Linked DNA regions of Drosophila melanogaster. The protein of the gene in region 1 interacts with the protein of each later gene in a pairwise test. Each region holds a gene or a part of one and is shown on either strand. Other genes may lie near its edges. The genes, in order: CG11379, CG31415, Syx6 and CG15083.

Region 1 (3,916 bases):
CAGCATCTACACGTAGCGAATAAGAGAAAAGTTAAGGGATCGTGTTCATGAAAAATATTTGCGATAATATATTTTACTTGTTAACCCAAAGGATATTATAAAATAACATTTTGCTGCTTATACCCGAAGCTGATTTTCAGGACGCGAAGTGCATCCGAAATGGAAAAATTGTATCGTAAGCTGCACTTGTAACTGAACTATATCTGCTATAGCAGCTTAGTTAATTCTGCAACACGAAGGTCAGATATTTTGGAACACCTTTCGATTTTATTATAAGCACAGAAAAAAAAAGTATGCGTATTTCACCTCGCTGAATTTTCTCTGCGATTTGAGTTTGAATGCTGCCTGGGAGCGTGGAAAACACTTGCACTTTTCCTGGCGAGCGACGCGCTTTGATTAACACGGCTGCATTGCCAGCCAGGCTTTTATATCGCTCGACGACCCGACCAATTTCCCGCAATTGGCAACAGGCTGCGGCTGCAGTTTTAACCAGTGCGAAACACGACAGCGCGCCAGCAAGCAACAGCATTTGGCTGGCACTGCCTTGGAAGCATTTCAGCGGCATTGTTGCGTGTGCCAGGCTCTTGCATGTCGCTAGTTGCAAGTTGCAAGTTGCTAGTTGCCAGTTGCTATTTGCTAGTTGCCAGTTGCTGTTTGCCGTCGTGGTGTCCATCGCTTTTGGCTACGCTTCAAGTTCAAGTTTACAGCCATCGATCGCGCATCAGAGTAATGGTTTCGTTTTCGCTTTCGATCGACTTGCTTTGCTTTACTTTGAGCCGCTGGGTTCCGTCTTCCGAATCCGAAACCGAAACCGAATCGGTTGTTTGGGGGCGTGTCGCTTTTGGATCTCGGATCGGTCCTCTTCCGCATTGCATATGGGTACGGCTACGGCTAACGAGTTTACAAGTCTTTTTCGGGGGGATGACAGCCCCCAGTGGTTGGCAGTTTGGCCGGTAGTTGTCCGCTTCAAATTGGCTTCATGGATTCGGTCAGAAAGTGGTCTTGCGATTTAATATATGTTCGATTTTTGAGTTTATTTTTTTCTTAAAGAAGCTAAAAGAAACTACGCTTTGAATCGAAATTTACTATTATGGTTATTCATAATTCAATTTATGATGCAGCCCGTTGTGTCCCACTGTGCCTATTAAAACGCTTTTAGTATAATTTGAACCATAAATTTAGCTATTGACTGAGGTAGTGTGATATGGCTGTGGAAGTGGAATGGTCACCCCTCCGTCTCAATTGGCAAAGCTCTGTGCGCTTCCCTGGGATTGGGTCTGCATTGGAGTGCCGGGCTCGAGACTTCCGAAGATCAGCGCGGAGCAGCGGCGATGAAGGGTGCGACGCCAGTCGAGCATCCCGCAGCGGAGCTTCTGGGGCAACGCGGTGGCCCATAGGGAAAGCCACAGAAGACATGCGCCGATCAGGCCGGTAGTCAGGCCCAAAGTCCAGTACTCGCAGACCAGGAAGGTTTGCTCCTCGACGGCCAAGGCCTGGAGTATGCCCACAATGGCGCACTGGCAGAGGGACTCTATGCGATGCCACAGTTTGCTAAGGGTCAGATCCAGCACCAAACAGCAGACGCCTGTCTCCAGTAAGAGCGATGCCCAGGACGACTCATTGCCGCGAAGGTTTCGATTCCCATTCCTGAACCGCTGATCGGCGGGCAGGGCACTTGAAAACATCCTCACCCCGTGAAGAAGGGTCACCACGCAGGCGGAAAAGAGCCAGGCGCCCAAGAGAGGAGCAGCGGAGCCGGGAGATTCGCGAAAGTAGTAGTAGTACGAGATGCCCAGTACCGAGTGAAGCAACACCGCCATGATCAAGGCCATTAGTCGAGCCATCTCCAGATGTCCTCCTAGGTGTACACTTCCAGTTTTACGGGAGTAAATTCGGGTCAGAAAGCCTTAAACTGAATTATTCAACTGACTTTTAAAGCAGCAGTCACTACTTGGTTAACTCCGAACACTTGTGTACAAGTATTCCTTGTTATTTTAAGAAGTGATACAAAAAGCAAGTTGTAAACTCTGTTAAAGTTTTTAAAGGCAATATTTAATATATTCGATGTTATCTTTTCAATTTATAATTTATATATTATGATTTATACAGCATTCTTGCGTGGCAGAATACCCCATCGGTAATGGCATAGGTTTCCTCTTTGTGTAATCACAGTCACTGTCTGCGTCACAGTTGAAGTCACAGACACCGCGCCAATTGCAATTATCACCACAAGTCAAACAGGCTCAGATGTCAAGGCCTTGTTTTCCTCATTTTCAGTGGGCTCATTACGTGAGGCAAGTGGAAATGGGAAATGTGCTCGATAGTAGTCAGCTTACTTTCATTTTTGTTTCGGCCAAAGCTTTGCGGCTCCAACTTTTGGACTTTAAAGCTTGAGCATGATCATGGAGAAACTCATAGATAAGCTCTTCCAGATCTTTATATGTACAATAATATATATGTACGTCTGGTAAACCAAGATGATTTATAAAATGATTAGGCTGGTTGGCATGGAATAAAATTTCTTGCATGCACTTGCTCCGCACTGTTCTCTGCCGACATGACGTCCCAATCCTGGTGATGCTGCTCCGCTTGCTCTGTCAGCAAGTCATAAATCTTCGGCTTCAACTGAACTTGATACATCAAAATGTTGGTCAAATTAAATTTCTTGCGCCTCGTCCTTTCCCGCACAGCTCGCCCCCGCCCCGCCCGCTGCTCCTTGATTCTCCCAGGGATTTCACTAGGAGCAGCTGCCAAGTAATTCGTCAAGCTGCTTTGTCCTCCTCCAGCGGCTGTTCTTATCTCATCTCTGGGTGAGCATTGTTGCTCCGCTCCTCTGTGCTGTGCTGTGCTGTTCTGTACTGTTCATCTGTCTGACTCCACCACCTACCAATCTACCTACCGACCTACCACCCCCATCCCTGTATCCCTGTATCGCCCCGTTTTGGCTGGCTTTCATGTCAACTGCATTTTTCTTTTGCTGTGTTGCTTGTTGTGTGCTGTGCGCTTTTTCACTGCTTTAAACCACTTAATGGGTTTTTTTTATGTGGACCTGGGTTAGATGGAAAAGCGCAAGGAGTGGGAGGCGGCCTGGCGGTGCCTCGGGGCTATTCATGCTGCAGCTTTCTTGTAGCTTCATTCACAAAGACTTGCAATTCATCAAATCTCGTTAGCCTCGGCTTTTATAGAAAATCTGCAGCTGCTTTTGCTTCTGCTTTTCTTTTCGGGGTTTCGGGGGGCTGTGCTCCTCTCATTCATCTGCCACGCCCACGGACACGGAGTGGGCGTGGCCGAAGCTTCAGCACCGATTCGAATCCCCGTCCGCATCCGCTTTACCATTTCCAAACGGCATCCTATCCTCTGGGATCCTCTGTCATTATTGACTGGCAACGACTTTAAGGCAACTTTTGTTCCGCTCCCATGCGCTTAACTTTAAGGGCTTTACCTTCTCCACCTGAGCTGAGCTCCGATCCATGCTTCTTCCTTTGAGCTAATGAAAAGTGTGTGTCTCCCAAAATGGAGTGGAATCCTTGCAGCTGCAGCTTGCATCATCAGGCTCTCCCAGCGAATAGCTCGTCTAAATAAAAGTAAACCAAAGCTCTGCCAAGGAGCAACAATAAACGAGTTGGCCAATGCATTTTTAATGCAACCAACCACCCAACCACCTGTACAAATCCGTTAGGGAGGAATGGGGATGCTCTCGAGGTTCTCTAGGTAGCCTCAAAAATGTTTCCAGAATTGGGGCACATGTTGCCACCACATTGCGATTAAATGACCCTTTTGTGCTTCCTTCACAACAATTTTCTGGGATCAGCACTATGATTCGGCAACACTGAGAGGTGTGGAACATGTGGGTAAATAGAAATTTGTAAATACGAAGAAAATCAGTTATTCAACACTGGTCTGGTGTGGGACCAAC
Region 2 (3,278 bases), on another chromosome or scaffold:
GCTTTGCTCCGCCGAATGATCGTTGGATTTGGGATGGTGCGGATAGTGACAAGGGCAGCCGGCACTCCCACACACACGGGGATTATCTGGAAGCGGAGACCAATCTGCATGACTACTGGAACTTCGAGGAACAACGCAATTGTCCCCAGCCCGTGGAACCAGAGTTCTTCGACCGACGGTTCGCCTTGGGACACCACTTTCTGTATCATGTGGAGCACGAAGAACGGGATACATTACTGCGACCCGTGCCAAAGGATAAGCCCATAGTATTTCCCGGGGACCTACGCTTCCAGCGGCAGGGAGAGGAGGCAATTGACTCCAACATAGATCAAGGTCCGCCCCTGGCGCCGTTTACCACAACATTAGCTACACCAATTGAAACAATTCCTGCTTCTTTATCCACAACAACCGCATCGATGCCACCTTTCGCACAGGAGAACACCCAAGGATGTGGGATAAATGTAGAGAGCCGACTGCTGGGAGGAGATCAGGCTAGTGCCGGACAGTTTCCCTGGCTGACAAGGATCGCTTATCGCAACCGAAGTAAGTACATCTTATGTTAGGCTAAATACGCAATTTCGAATTTATTTTACCCAACGCAACGCCTCTTAAATGCTCTTAAACTTACTCCGCATTGGAGATCTGAGCCGGGCCCAATGCCGTCCTGTCTGCGCTCATCCAATTTCACTGGCCACAATAACCATTTTTAATGTAAGGTAGACGCCGACGGCAAAGAGCAGAGCAGCCAGTCCCAGAGCCTTGGGTCCGCGATTGTTTGGTGGGGCACTCAGCCCAAAAGGTCCTCCTCCGCCTCCACCACCGCCATTGGGAGCATTTCTGCCTCCGGGACCACCACTACCTCCAGGGCCATTTCTTCCTCCAGGGCCACCACCTTTTCCTCCAGGGCCACCTCTTCCTCCAGGGCCTCCCTTACCGCATTTATTGCACTGCTGTCCGCCGCAAGGTTTGGGGCCACACGTTCCACGCTTTTGGGGCGGGCCCCCTCCACGACCACCTGGGCCGCCTCCACCGGCACCAGGGGCACCTCCACCAGCACCTGGACCGCCCCGTGAGCCAGGAGCTGGGCAAGAATCAGGGTTGTTGCTCTGAGGTGGTAGACTTCTTCCTGAACAAGGGCAAGCGCACATGTTGAGCTGAAAACAAGAAAAAATCTTTATTCTTACAGAAGTTTTACGATAATATTTTCAGGCAGCAGCCGCATTAGCTTTCGCTGCTCCGGATCCCTGATATCCAGCAACCACATCGTAACTGCCGCCCACTGTGTGGTCAACCTAGTCAGCGATTTGGAACTGTAAGTCTAAAGCCTAATTAAATCTTTTGTAATCCACGCTCTTTCGTAGGTCCCATGTTCGATTGGGAAGTCAGGATGGGGCGACTCCGTTTGCCATCGAGCAGGTTATAGTTCATCCGAACTACGACCAGCCCAAGTATGCAAATGACATTGCCCTCCTACGAATCAACAGCACTAATGGTAAGAGATTATACTCCTATCCTAGGTCAATGATTACGCTGAATAACCACCACCAACCTTGCAGGCACTTTCACACCCATATGCTTACCCTTCAACGGGCCAATCACACTGGGAAACAGGCTGATAGGACAAATTGGAGTGGCTGCTGGTTGGAGTATTGGGAGTACTGAAAGTTAGTCTCGAAACAACTTTATATCTGATCTGTTACATTTTTTAACTTACTATCAATGCGATCGAAATATAATTCAGTGCATATTAGGTTTTAAATGTATATAACATTCTCTACTACAAATTTTATCCAGATAATAGTTCGATGGACCCCTCAAACTCCACCGCTGGGGTGCGCTTCATCCGTTTGCCCATCGTGAACACCACCAGTTGCGCCATCGCCTATGCCAGTCTCAGTGAGAACTTCCAGCAGCCTATTGTGATTACTCCCAACCACCTGTGCGCCCAGGGAATGCCCATGAATGACGTGTGCCGAGGCGATAGTGGCGGCCCCTTTATGGACGACGGTACCTCCGGCGTCTTTGGAACAAGTGGACGTTATACGATCATCGGCATCGTGGCCTTTGGACCGACGCTGTGCGGCGTGACCACCATTCCGGGGGTCTACACCCTGGTGAGTAGCTTCTCCGATTGGATACTGCGAAGCATCGCCGAAGGATCTGACCAGTGAGCGGTCGTGTTGGGAACCCATCCCTAGCAAATTACATCCAAAGCTTCCAATGCCAAAGTCTTCAGAATACATCGACGTAAAGAACAATGATTCATACATTCTACGGATAAATACAAAAATTCGGTTCCACTTCAAATCACCTAAATTTCAATAAAATGTACGTGTATAACAATCGTATTCATCAAATTTGTATTTTTCTACTGTATATGGCGGATGTCAATGCTCTCATTTTATTTTCAGAAAAACAATGTTCTTTTTTTACACGAATACAGTACAAGAATCAGAGGTTAACATATTATTTTTTCATTAATTGCTTCTGACTACTGGTCTTAATTAATAATGTTAATAGACGGCGAAGAAGGTATAATTATCTTATAAGAGTTCTTAACTTATCGCTTAAAGAATTATAATTGTTTTAACGCCTCATTTTAAATTAGTTACTTCCTCAAACAATTTGGAAGCGAGAATAAAATATGTGATTTAGCTTCAGGATGATTATATCTATAAATACATAATTAGGTATTTAATGTTCCTATTTCGCGATCCAATATCTTGCGTGTAAAATATTTTTTAGTTTTATTTACAATTTTACAAATTCTTTTGAAAGATACAAATATAGCTTGCTTGCAGTAAACAATTTTTTTTTTCCAAGTTTTATTTCTAGTAGGACATAAATAATGGCAATAAAGAATAACTGGTTTTGTCCACAAATTGATGTTCTTAAACACCCCTTCATTCGGTGAAGTAAAACAATTGCTTTTGCAAATAATTTGTTAAATTGCATTAGTTGTAATCCTTTATTCCTAGAATAGCATCATTTACTTTTGGGTACTTTACTTAACGTATAATAAAGCTGCAATAAAAACAGGAAGTAGAACATTGAAACAAAGGTATTTGAGTTGATAAATACGATATAACTTTTAAATGTAATCACCGCATTGTAATTTATTTGCTTAAGATCTGGTTTTTGTATTATAAATTAAAGTTTCATAAATAAGTTTTATAAATTGAAACCCAATTGCCCTACACAGCGATATCCGCACGATCATATTTCAAGCCCTAGTGCAAACTGAAGTTTACTTACACTTATCCAACTGCTCTTCGTCG
Region 3 (4,829 bases), on another chromosome or scaffold:
CCAGCTCCCCAAAGTAGTCGATTTTTTTCTGTGGAACTCTCGTTGGCCGCGAAAATGGCATCACCCAGTGGAGATCGCACCACATATCGATTCTCCGAGGAGACGCCTGTTAGGGCTGCAAAGGGAAGACGAACTATTAGAAGCGATTTTAGCTAATTTTTGGGCTTGTACTTACCATCGTTAAGCTCAAAGGTCTGTTCAATATGTACGGACGGCAGATCTGCTAGGCAATCGTATCCGGAAAGTGGGATAAGCGTCCGGCTTCCCGTAACCGTGGCAATTGGCACTGGCAGCGGGATGCGTGGAGCCTCCGGCCTGGGTTGTGAGGTAATGCTGATATGGGAGTCATAAACTGAAGAAAAACAAACAAATCGTATATAGACCATTTTCCAATACGAGCAGAATCGTAAGGTTGTCCATATTGTTATCTTTGAACTAAGATTTTATAAACCTTTTCCATATCTTTAGGGTATTACAAACTTTTCCATAGATTGAATTTTGAAAGTTTTTAATATTTTAATTAAATTTAAATTTCATTTAAAGTTGTAGTTTTAAGATCATAATTTTACAGTGAATTTGAATTAAATAAAAATGGTTGTTGAACATTCTGCTAATAATAGCTCTGAGTAATAGCAATATTATTGAAAATATTTTGTGGTTATAACAAATCGTTTAGATTAAAACTTTAGTAGTTTTTCGATTTTTTCATAATCTTGTCACATAAATATTTTATTACTTTTCTTGGAATAGGAAAATGTTGGTATAGGATACAGCTAATATCATGGGTACGGTTTTACTATCGGATTGATCGCTGGGTTCGATCGTCCCAAACAAAGGCACTTGAGGAGTCGCAGACCATAACAAAACGCTGGCCGATAAGATATAGCCAACTTGTGGCCGCATTTTTGCGTCGAACTGTGTGACACACTCGCTCGCAACAATAATTAATCCGGTGCACTGCTTATCAGTTGGTAACAATTCGGTTACCCTTTTGCCAGGGTGATTCACTCGCTGTTTTTATTCGTTTTCTAAAGCCATATGCCCTAAATTACCTCTCGGTTCTGAGAGACTTGGCTGCTGGGCCACACGGATCTCACTGTCGTATTGCAAAGTGCGCACCGCGTTGTTTTGCAACATTTCGCCAGCACTTTTCAAACTTATTTGACGGCGGTCTAAATGAAATTGATAACGGTGGTCAGTGGGGCAGTAGCACAACGGAAGTTAAGTGCTTTGTGCCCCTCGCCTGGTCACACTTCCTGACTCAGATGATTTTAATACTCTATTACGAACGTTCTCATGTGAAATAGTAATAATAGCTTATTTATAGTGCTATTTTGTAAACTTTAATTCATGCGAATGTTGCAGGTTTTCAAAATATTCGTTTATGCTGCTCAAGCTGAATGTGGATAAATATATATTCAAATCCAGAGCTGCCACCTGATTCAAACTGTTTAGTAACGTATTTTCTGCACTTGCGATATATACTAAATTATCGCGGGATAAACGTGCTATCGCACTTGGGTCATACTAAGCCTTACGGTTTATTTTGCTAGCAGCAAAACAGAAATAAAACCTTTACTTAAATTTATTTATCAGAATTTGTCTCGTGTGAACTTGAAATTAAAGTCCGTCACCGTGTTCTCGGACCGAAGTTTGCTAAATGACGTGGAGACGAGCAGCAGGTGAGCGAGCGATGAAAATTGCAACAGTGCTGGCCATTTGGCCGACGATTTGTTGTTGTGGAATTTTTTGGCCAAAATTCGGGTTGTTTTCAAATCGGTTAGTCAAGGGGTTGGTAATCAAGGAACCAAAGTGCGCAGCCGCTGGAGCGGGAGCGGCGTAAACAAATGCCAGTGGGGTAGTGGTTCTCGGTGGGGGCTTAATCTCTGGAGCGCAAATAGCGACAGTGTTCTCTGGGCCATCGGTGGAACCAGCTAAGTCGGCGGAATCCACAAGAAATCGAGCGATAAGCGGCGGAGCGGGTCCAAGTGCAATAATCAATAAACGTGCTGTTCAAACATCGCTGCTAGGCGAAAGATAAAACCCAGTCGATTGTGAAATTCCTGCTATATAGAACGGATTGAAAGCAAAAATTTGCTCCCCATTTGCTTGCCTTTTGATGTAACTCCCACGAAGTGCTTTTGCTATTGCCAACTTGCAATTTGCCCCCTTGTACCTTTGGGGGGTGGTTTTCGCCCGGAAAAATCCATGAAAAGAACCGTCAAGTGCGCCACGCTGGTGAAAAACTGCTAGGAGTGTTAGTTTTCGTTTTGTGGCAAGAAGAGAACGCGGCATGTCTCTGGAGGATCCGTTTTTCGTGGTCAAGGAGTAGGTGTCCCCGATTTGGCAGATGGCCACATGCACTGCTGGTGGAAAGTGCTATCTTACTTATATCTCTGTTTTTTCTTTCATTTCCCTCCCCTTCCCCAACAGCGAGGTATTCAAAGCTCTGAACAAAACCCGCGGCCTCTATCTGCGTTGGCGGGAGCTGGGCGAGAACGGCGGAACGGAGGCTGAATGGACCACCACCGAGCTGCGTAACTCGCTACGGAGCATCGAGTGGGATCTCGAGGACCTCGAGGACACTATCAATATCCTTTTGCAAAGACCATTGAAAAATCAATTCGTTACCTGGTACTCATTTATCGAATTGCATTGTCTGTTTTATTTTCGCATAAAGAGGTTGAGATCCCATTTAAAATTGCTGAATATGCAATTTATTCGTGATTTAATTCGCTCGTTTATTAGTATTATACTAATAAACTGTACAGAACTTGTTTTTTTGGCACTATAATTGTAAAAAAAGAGTACTTGGTATCTTAAGGTCGGTAGAACCGACTTTCTAGCTCATCAGTCTCCTCGGTTTTCTCCTTAACCCATACCATTTTGACTCACACGCATCGTTGAGAAGAATCCAAGCAAGTTTCGGATCGACAACCGCGAACTCTCCAGCCGGCGCCACTTCATCGACAACACTCGCGATGAGGTCAAGCAGATGAAGGATAAGATGAGCCTGAACCGGAGCCGGGACAGAGACATCACCGCACACCAGCCGCTGCTCGACAACGATCGCCACAGCCCCAATCACAATCATTCCATTGCCATACCCAATTCGAATTCCAACTCCAACGAGTACCATCAGCATCCACACAACGATCGCACGTACCTCGTGGAGTGTCCCAACGGCAACTCGCTGATCAATAGCGGCAGTCAGGTGGCCAATACCATAGCTGGGACCATGTCGGCGGCAGCGGCAGCAGCATCCCGCCACAGCGGCACCAAGTACTCCAAGCTGGAGAACGCCCTGGACAGTCCCAGTCACTATGGGCAGACGCATCACGGCGGCATGGACAGTCCGAGTCATAGGTACGTGGGCGAAACAGTGTCCATACAGCAGCGTATGATCCAGGGACAGGATGAGCAGCTAGACATGATCAGCGATTCGATTGGTACCCTCAAGACGGTCTCGCGGCAAATTGGCGTTGAGCTCGATGAGCAGGCCGTCATGCTAGACGACTTTGGGAACGAGTTCGATACCACGGAGTCCAAGTTGGATACGACCATGAAGAAAGTTGCCAAAGTCTTGCACATGAATAATGGTGAGTGGTGCGGCACTTGTGGTATTCAAGGACTATTTTGATTGAAATATTAATGAAGAGTAAATGCTTCAGTGAACCACAATCAAAATTACCCATTGAATACTTTTGTGACTTCTGATTCCTAATTCTTAACTGTATCCATCTTCTTTCACAGATAAACGACAGTGGGCCGCCATTCTCATCCTATCCGGACTGTTATTGTTTGTGATAATTTTGTTTATTATTTTGTAATTGCTTTCGTTGTTCCCAAATCGTTTATATTTAGTGTAAATTAGATTTATTTATGACTTAGCTTGCTTTTGAATTCGGGCTCTTAATTACAATTCCATGTAAACTCCCTTGCTGTATATACACGGAAACATTTTAACCTGATTTATTACCAGCCGCCTCTCTCTATATATATATAATGTAATTCCAAAGCTACGGACAAATGATCATGTAAAGTCAATGTAGGCGGGTAATAAAAGATAACTAACTACTTACATATAAACCAAGTGCTCCAGAGTTCTGTCATTCCCAATTTGGCCAAAGGATACTGCAACTGTAAGCTGTATATACATCGAAGGATATATCTGCATATATATACATACAAACAAAATGGACCTACCAATATCAAACGAGTTATTTAACGAAGAGTCTTAGGAAATTTCACTAACCAAATCTAGCAAAAACTTGTATGCAATTGAGTAAATATATATACTTATAAATTAAATTCCTAATTTAAAGCCAAATGAGGTACTTCTTACGGGTCACCTAGAAATACTGTATGAGTGCACAGAGAGAAATTGTATACATATACAAAAATTTGTTCGCTATTTTGAAAGCCTAAATTAAACAAAAATTGGAAATACAAGCTTTCAAATTTTTTAATGTTTTTAAGGATAGTAGGATTAGTCAAGATGTTATCTTCTGATAGATCAATGATTTGGAAAATGGTATTTAATACCAAATTTTTCTCTGTGCACAAGGAGAGGGTATCAGGCCCCTTCTCATGTTCTCTCTGCGCCCCAAAACCACTCGACAGCCCACTCGATTTGCCCACTCACTCAGCTGTGTTGCATGCTTTTGCCCGGAGCTTTTTGGCGAGCTTACAGTCTGCGCACAGTGGCGCAACCAAAGGGGTATCTTCGAAAGGCTTGAAACATAACCCCTACGGGGAATCCGGACTACGCCACTGGGTCACAGCATAAGCACACGGGCAGAGCGGCACGTTTCCATGTGATGTTTTTC
Region 4 (3,853 bases), on another chromosome or scaffold:
GGCCAATGATTTTCTGGAAAAGCTGCCCAGCATAACCACGCCGAGATGAAAACCGGCTGTTGCCCAACGGCAGACGCAGTCGCAGATCCAAGCGAGTGGGTCACACTTCGAGCTCAAGCTGAACCTGAACCTAGGTATGGAGTCTGCCATGGAGTCGGGCAGTACTGGCCAGGCTGTGCGAATACTGGCGGCCGTGCAGGCTAAGCTAACTACCCAAAATGCCGAGACGAGCTTTACGCAGTCGCAAAACATCAATAACAGCAGCAACAATAAGATGACCAACTTTCCATTTTATGTCTAAGTAAGCAGATTGGAGCAGAAGACGATGCCGAGTATGATAGCTAGCTATATAGATAGAGAACTGTGTCGAGAGTATATAATTGTCCGTAGTGTGATCGATCGTTTTAAATGTTGAATGTTTAAGAACGCGGTAGCCCAATAGCCAATAGCACCCTGTATGTATATGTATGTAACCAATGTATTTAACTGTTGATAGTTGATCCCAAGTCGATGTGAGTAAGAGATGTGCGTTAACGACAAACTGCAATCAAATAAAAAACAAAGCATTTTATTGCAAACACTGAGATGAACGAACGGTGGGCTCTTCCCCGACAATTTATGTAGTGTAGAATGATAAGGACTAAACCACATTCATGGCGCGCGGTGTTTGTTTGCTGGCTTCGCTGTTTTTCAGCTGGAGGTAGAAGGAGTACACAATTCGTGCGCTGAAGAGGATCAATACTGAAAGTGTAGCGGAGAATATGTATGATCTGTACATTTTTGTTAACTCAATTTGATGTTCATAGCCGATACTTACGAAATGTGATGATGTAAACGAGCAGGGCACCGAAAACGTTGTTCATTCCGGTAGCCTCGCGATATCCTCCGTAGTGGAAGATAACCCCGAAGACGGCAAACGGAAAGGAGATGGCTTCAATGGCAGCGAAGATCAGCCAGACGAACACCAGAATTGGCTTTTCCTGCAATTCGGAAAGGTAGATTGGGTTTCGTTGACTCAATAAAACGGAATGGGTTGTATTTTATTTACCTTCAGGGTTCCTATCAATAAGCAAATATTGGCGACTACTACGATGGCAAATCCAATAAAGGTAAGAACTGCAAGGATTCAAGTGAATTTAAATAGAAATTATTGAACGTACATATTTCATTCATAAAAAAAGCCGTTACAATTAGTGGAAAGTAAACATAAACTTGGGCTTATAAGTGACTCAATGTATTCCAAGCAAAACGTTGCTGTGCTCTTATCTTTCTTCCCGTCTGAAATTTGAGAACACGACTGCTAAATGTATCTTCGTATATAATGAGTACATATTGATGCACTGATGCACTTCATGTACATGTGTACATATACATAAAGAACTAAAACATAAATTCTTCTTTTATATTTTAAACACATTTCATACATGAAATATGACAAACTTTTTAAAACAGCTTAGAATAAGGTTTATAGAACTTCTTTGAGACATGGACAAATGCAGGGCTTTAAGTGTTTTTATGACATATGGCGTTCAACTGTTAAAACCCAATAATCTTTTAAGTTTAATTCTGCGCCATGCACAGCCCAAGGAAATTATTTAATTTTCTTTTTTGTGCTGGAAAATTCAAGCCTGTGAGAAAATGGCATTTCGGGCCACCTAAAATGAATTGTCAGCTCGAATTTGTCGGCGATGTCGTCATCGATGGTGAGGTGTTGTATCCAAAATGGTTGTGAATTGGAACGCGTTTGTGTCGAATGGATTAGCTCATTCGTTTATTTCGCATGTGAACATCATGAATGTATTGTCTCTCTATGGAAATAGCGTCAGTCTGGGCAATCAGCTTCTGAAAATAAACAAATGCCACGCCTCTCGCATTTCTCCTACCGTTTGGAGCGAATATAACGTTGAAAGTCATGCTCAATAGCCAATAGATCGCGATTCCCAGGCACCAGCTCCGCAAATCGGTATTGCACGGGCCATTTTCCACCGTCAGATCGATTTTCATTTTGAAACTCTGTGGTTTACAGCGAATTTTCCAAATACAAATATGGCTAGTATGGCACTTAAACCGGTTTGGGAACACCTAGCGCACGGAAACACAACCGCACTGGGCAAGAATCAAATAATAAGTGTGGCGCAAATGCCGATGCCGCTCAGAAGAAACGGTTGCGTAAACTATGCAACACGAAAATACTTTTTTTTCGAGCGTGGAAAAACTACGTCTGATATGTTCTTAAAAAATATATGTGCACTCATTTACTATATGAATTTGTTTGCATATGTTTCGTCATTTAAGAGTGAAATGAATAAAATGGGGAATTGTCTTTAAAATAATAGAGAGATTTAATGCTGTATTATATATGTAATGTAGCTACTATTAGCACCTTGAAAAATATTATGAAAGTAAGCCGCTGCTGTGCAGTGTTAATGAATACATAAATAAATATTTTTTAACTATCATGCCAAATAATAAATGCATAAAAATATTTAAAATATAAAAATGTTATTAAAAGAATTTTAAACAATTAGCGTTAAAAAGTCACATTAAAAGCTGGTGAACAAGTCACAGTTTCGACACCAACTGCTTGAACCAGTCTGGCAACGCCGCTGTACCCAAAAGCTTTTAATTGTCAGCCAATTGCGACTTATCAAGCAATTGCAATTTTGCTGCGCCGGCGAACTGAAGTAAAATTGTCTTTATCTTCGCATTAGCACGAAATCAAGTGAATCCAGAATGCTGTCCAGGGTCTTCTGTATGCGCCTGAACACCTATGGTGTGGTCATTGGATGGCTGGGCGTGATTCTATCCTTCTTGGCCACGATCCTCTTGTCCTTGGCCCTCGGATTCGTCGATGAAATTGCGCAGCAGATCGCCAAGGGATCGGAAGATTCTAACAAGACGGCCACCGAGATTCGCAGTGGTAAGGGCTAACCATCGAGTGCACCCACAACCAATCGTATATTTTTTATTGTATTTCATTGTTCTTGCGGTTATTGCAGTGCTAATCATCGTTTTCAGTGTTTACCTGGCGCTCAAGGTGATTAATCTTCTGGCTTCGGCCATGTTGGTTGCAGGTACCGTTAAGGTAAGTCTAGTATCAATATGCAATCTGTACAATCGCGTATATATGTGTCTACTATAGTACATATCTAGAGTTAGACCTTTTTAAAAGCCCACTATTCTGTAAAAAAAACCGGCAAGTTTCTTTGCAAATACATATGTACATACACCATACTAACTAGAGATAGAGATGGTTCTAATAGCGTTTGCCTTTCAGGAACGCCATTTACTCCTGCTGCCCTGGCTGATCAACAATGGAGTGCTGCTTGTCTTTGGAATTATCACCAATATTGCAATGCTGGCCCAGATCATCGGAAATACATCTTTCCTGAGCGCTCTTCCAATCATTTTCGTGGATGTTGGCCTGCTCTGTAAGTGACTCACCACTTCATACATACATAAGCTCTATCTGGAAATGGGTATACACAATACACACTGGCCGTTGTTGCGAAATTGTGGATCCCCATTGCGCTTATCGCTCGACGGTCTGCGATCGTTCTATAATTGCGCTTGGGCACGATGCTTATTTTTCTCCATTCGCTCGTTTTCAGTGCTGACCTGGTATCTCTACTACGGCATCTACTCGCTCTTCAAGCAGATCCAGGCATCCCGTGAGATCCAGCGCCCGCTGATCCCACAGCCGACCCAGCAGACCAACTCCTATCCCAGCTACACCAAGATTTAAGCTCCAGTGTAGCTTCCCGTTTGGCCAGCTCTTATTTCATCATATCCCTTTTCGAATGTTTCCAATGGGGCTTCCCCGATAAACCCAATATTTTTCTAGCTAGTAGCA

What was found.
Region 2: the proteins of CG11379 (region 1) and CG31415 interact in a two-hybrid assay, tested with the Drosophila melanogaster proteins (one large-scale study listed by BioGRID).
Region 3: the proteins of CG11379 (region 1) and Syx6 interact in a two-hybrid assay, tested with the Drosophila melanogaster proteins (one large-scale study listed by BioGRID).
Region 4: the proteins of CG11379 (region 1) and CG15083 interact in a two-hybrid assay, tested with the Drosophila melanogaster proteins (one large-scale study listed by BioGRID).

What each region holds. Positions count from the first base shown.
Region 1 is NC_004354.4:1,178,192-1,182,107, reverse strand, and holds CG11379 (uncharacterized protein), read right to left. Parts: upstream 1,944-3,916; 5' UTR 1,845-1,943; coding exon 1,239-1,844; 3' UTR 557-1,238; downstream 1-556. Other genes in the region: CG14627 (uncharacterized protein), read right to left, coding at 1-6.
Region 2 is NT_033777.3:9,741,946-9,745,223, reverse strand, and holds CG31415 (uncharacterized protein), read right to left. Parts: upstream 1,708-3,278; 5' UTR 1,665-1,707; coding exon of another isoform or gene 1,557-1,664; intron 1,493-1,556; coding exon of another isoform or gene 1,362-1,492; intron 1,313-1,361; coding exon of another isoform or gene 1,210-1,312; intron 1,155-1,209; 5' UTR 1,149-1,154; coding exon 675-1,148; 3' UTR 562-674; downstream 1-561. Other genes in the region: CG34409 (uncharacterized protein), read left to right, coding at 1-543, 1,210-1,312, 1,362-1,492, 1,557-1,664, 1,795-2,171; Pnn (pinin), read right to left, coding at 3,005-3,024, 3,256-3,278.
Region 3 is NT_033778.4:11,218,031-11,222,859, forward strand, and holds Syx6 (syntaxin 6), read left to right. Parts: upstream 1-1,903; 5' UTR 1,904-2,293; coding exon of another isoform or gene 2,294-2,328; 5' UTR 2,329-2,350; coding exon 2,351-2,591; intron 2,592-2,897; coding exon 2,898-3,599; intron 3,600-3,753; coding exon 3,754-3,830; 3' UTR 3,831-4,308; downstream 4,309-4,829. Other genes in the region: CG9084 (uncharacterized protein), read right to left, coding at 1-133, 176-352, 1,053-1,137.
Region 4 is NT_033778.4:18,833,543-18,837,395, reverse strand, and holds CG15083 (uncharacterized protein), read right to left. Parts: upstream 2,134-3,853; 5' UTR 2,005-2,133; coding exon 1,884-2,004; intron 1,117-1,883; coding exon 1,049-1,116; intron 981-1,048; coding exon 818-980; intron 742-817; coding exon 641-741; 3' UTR 554-640; downstream 1-553. Other genes in the region: CG15099 (uncharacterized protein), read left to right, coding at 1-49; CG15098 (uncharacterized protein), read left to right, coding at 2,734-2,920, 3,000-3,085, 3,278-3,431, 3,612-3,745.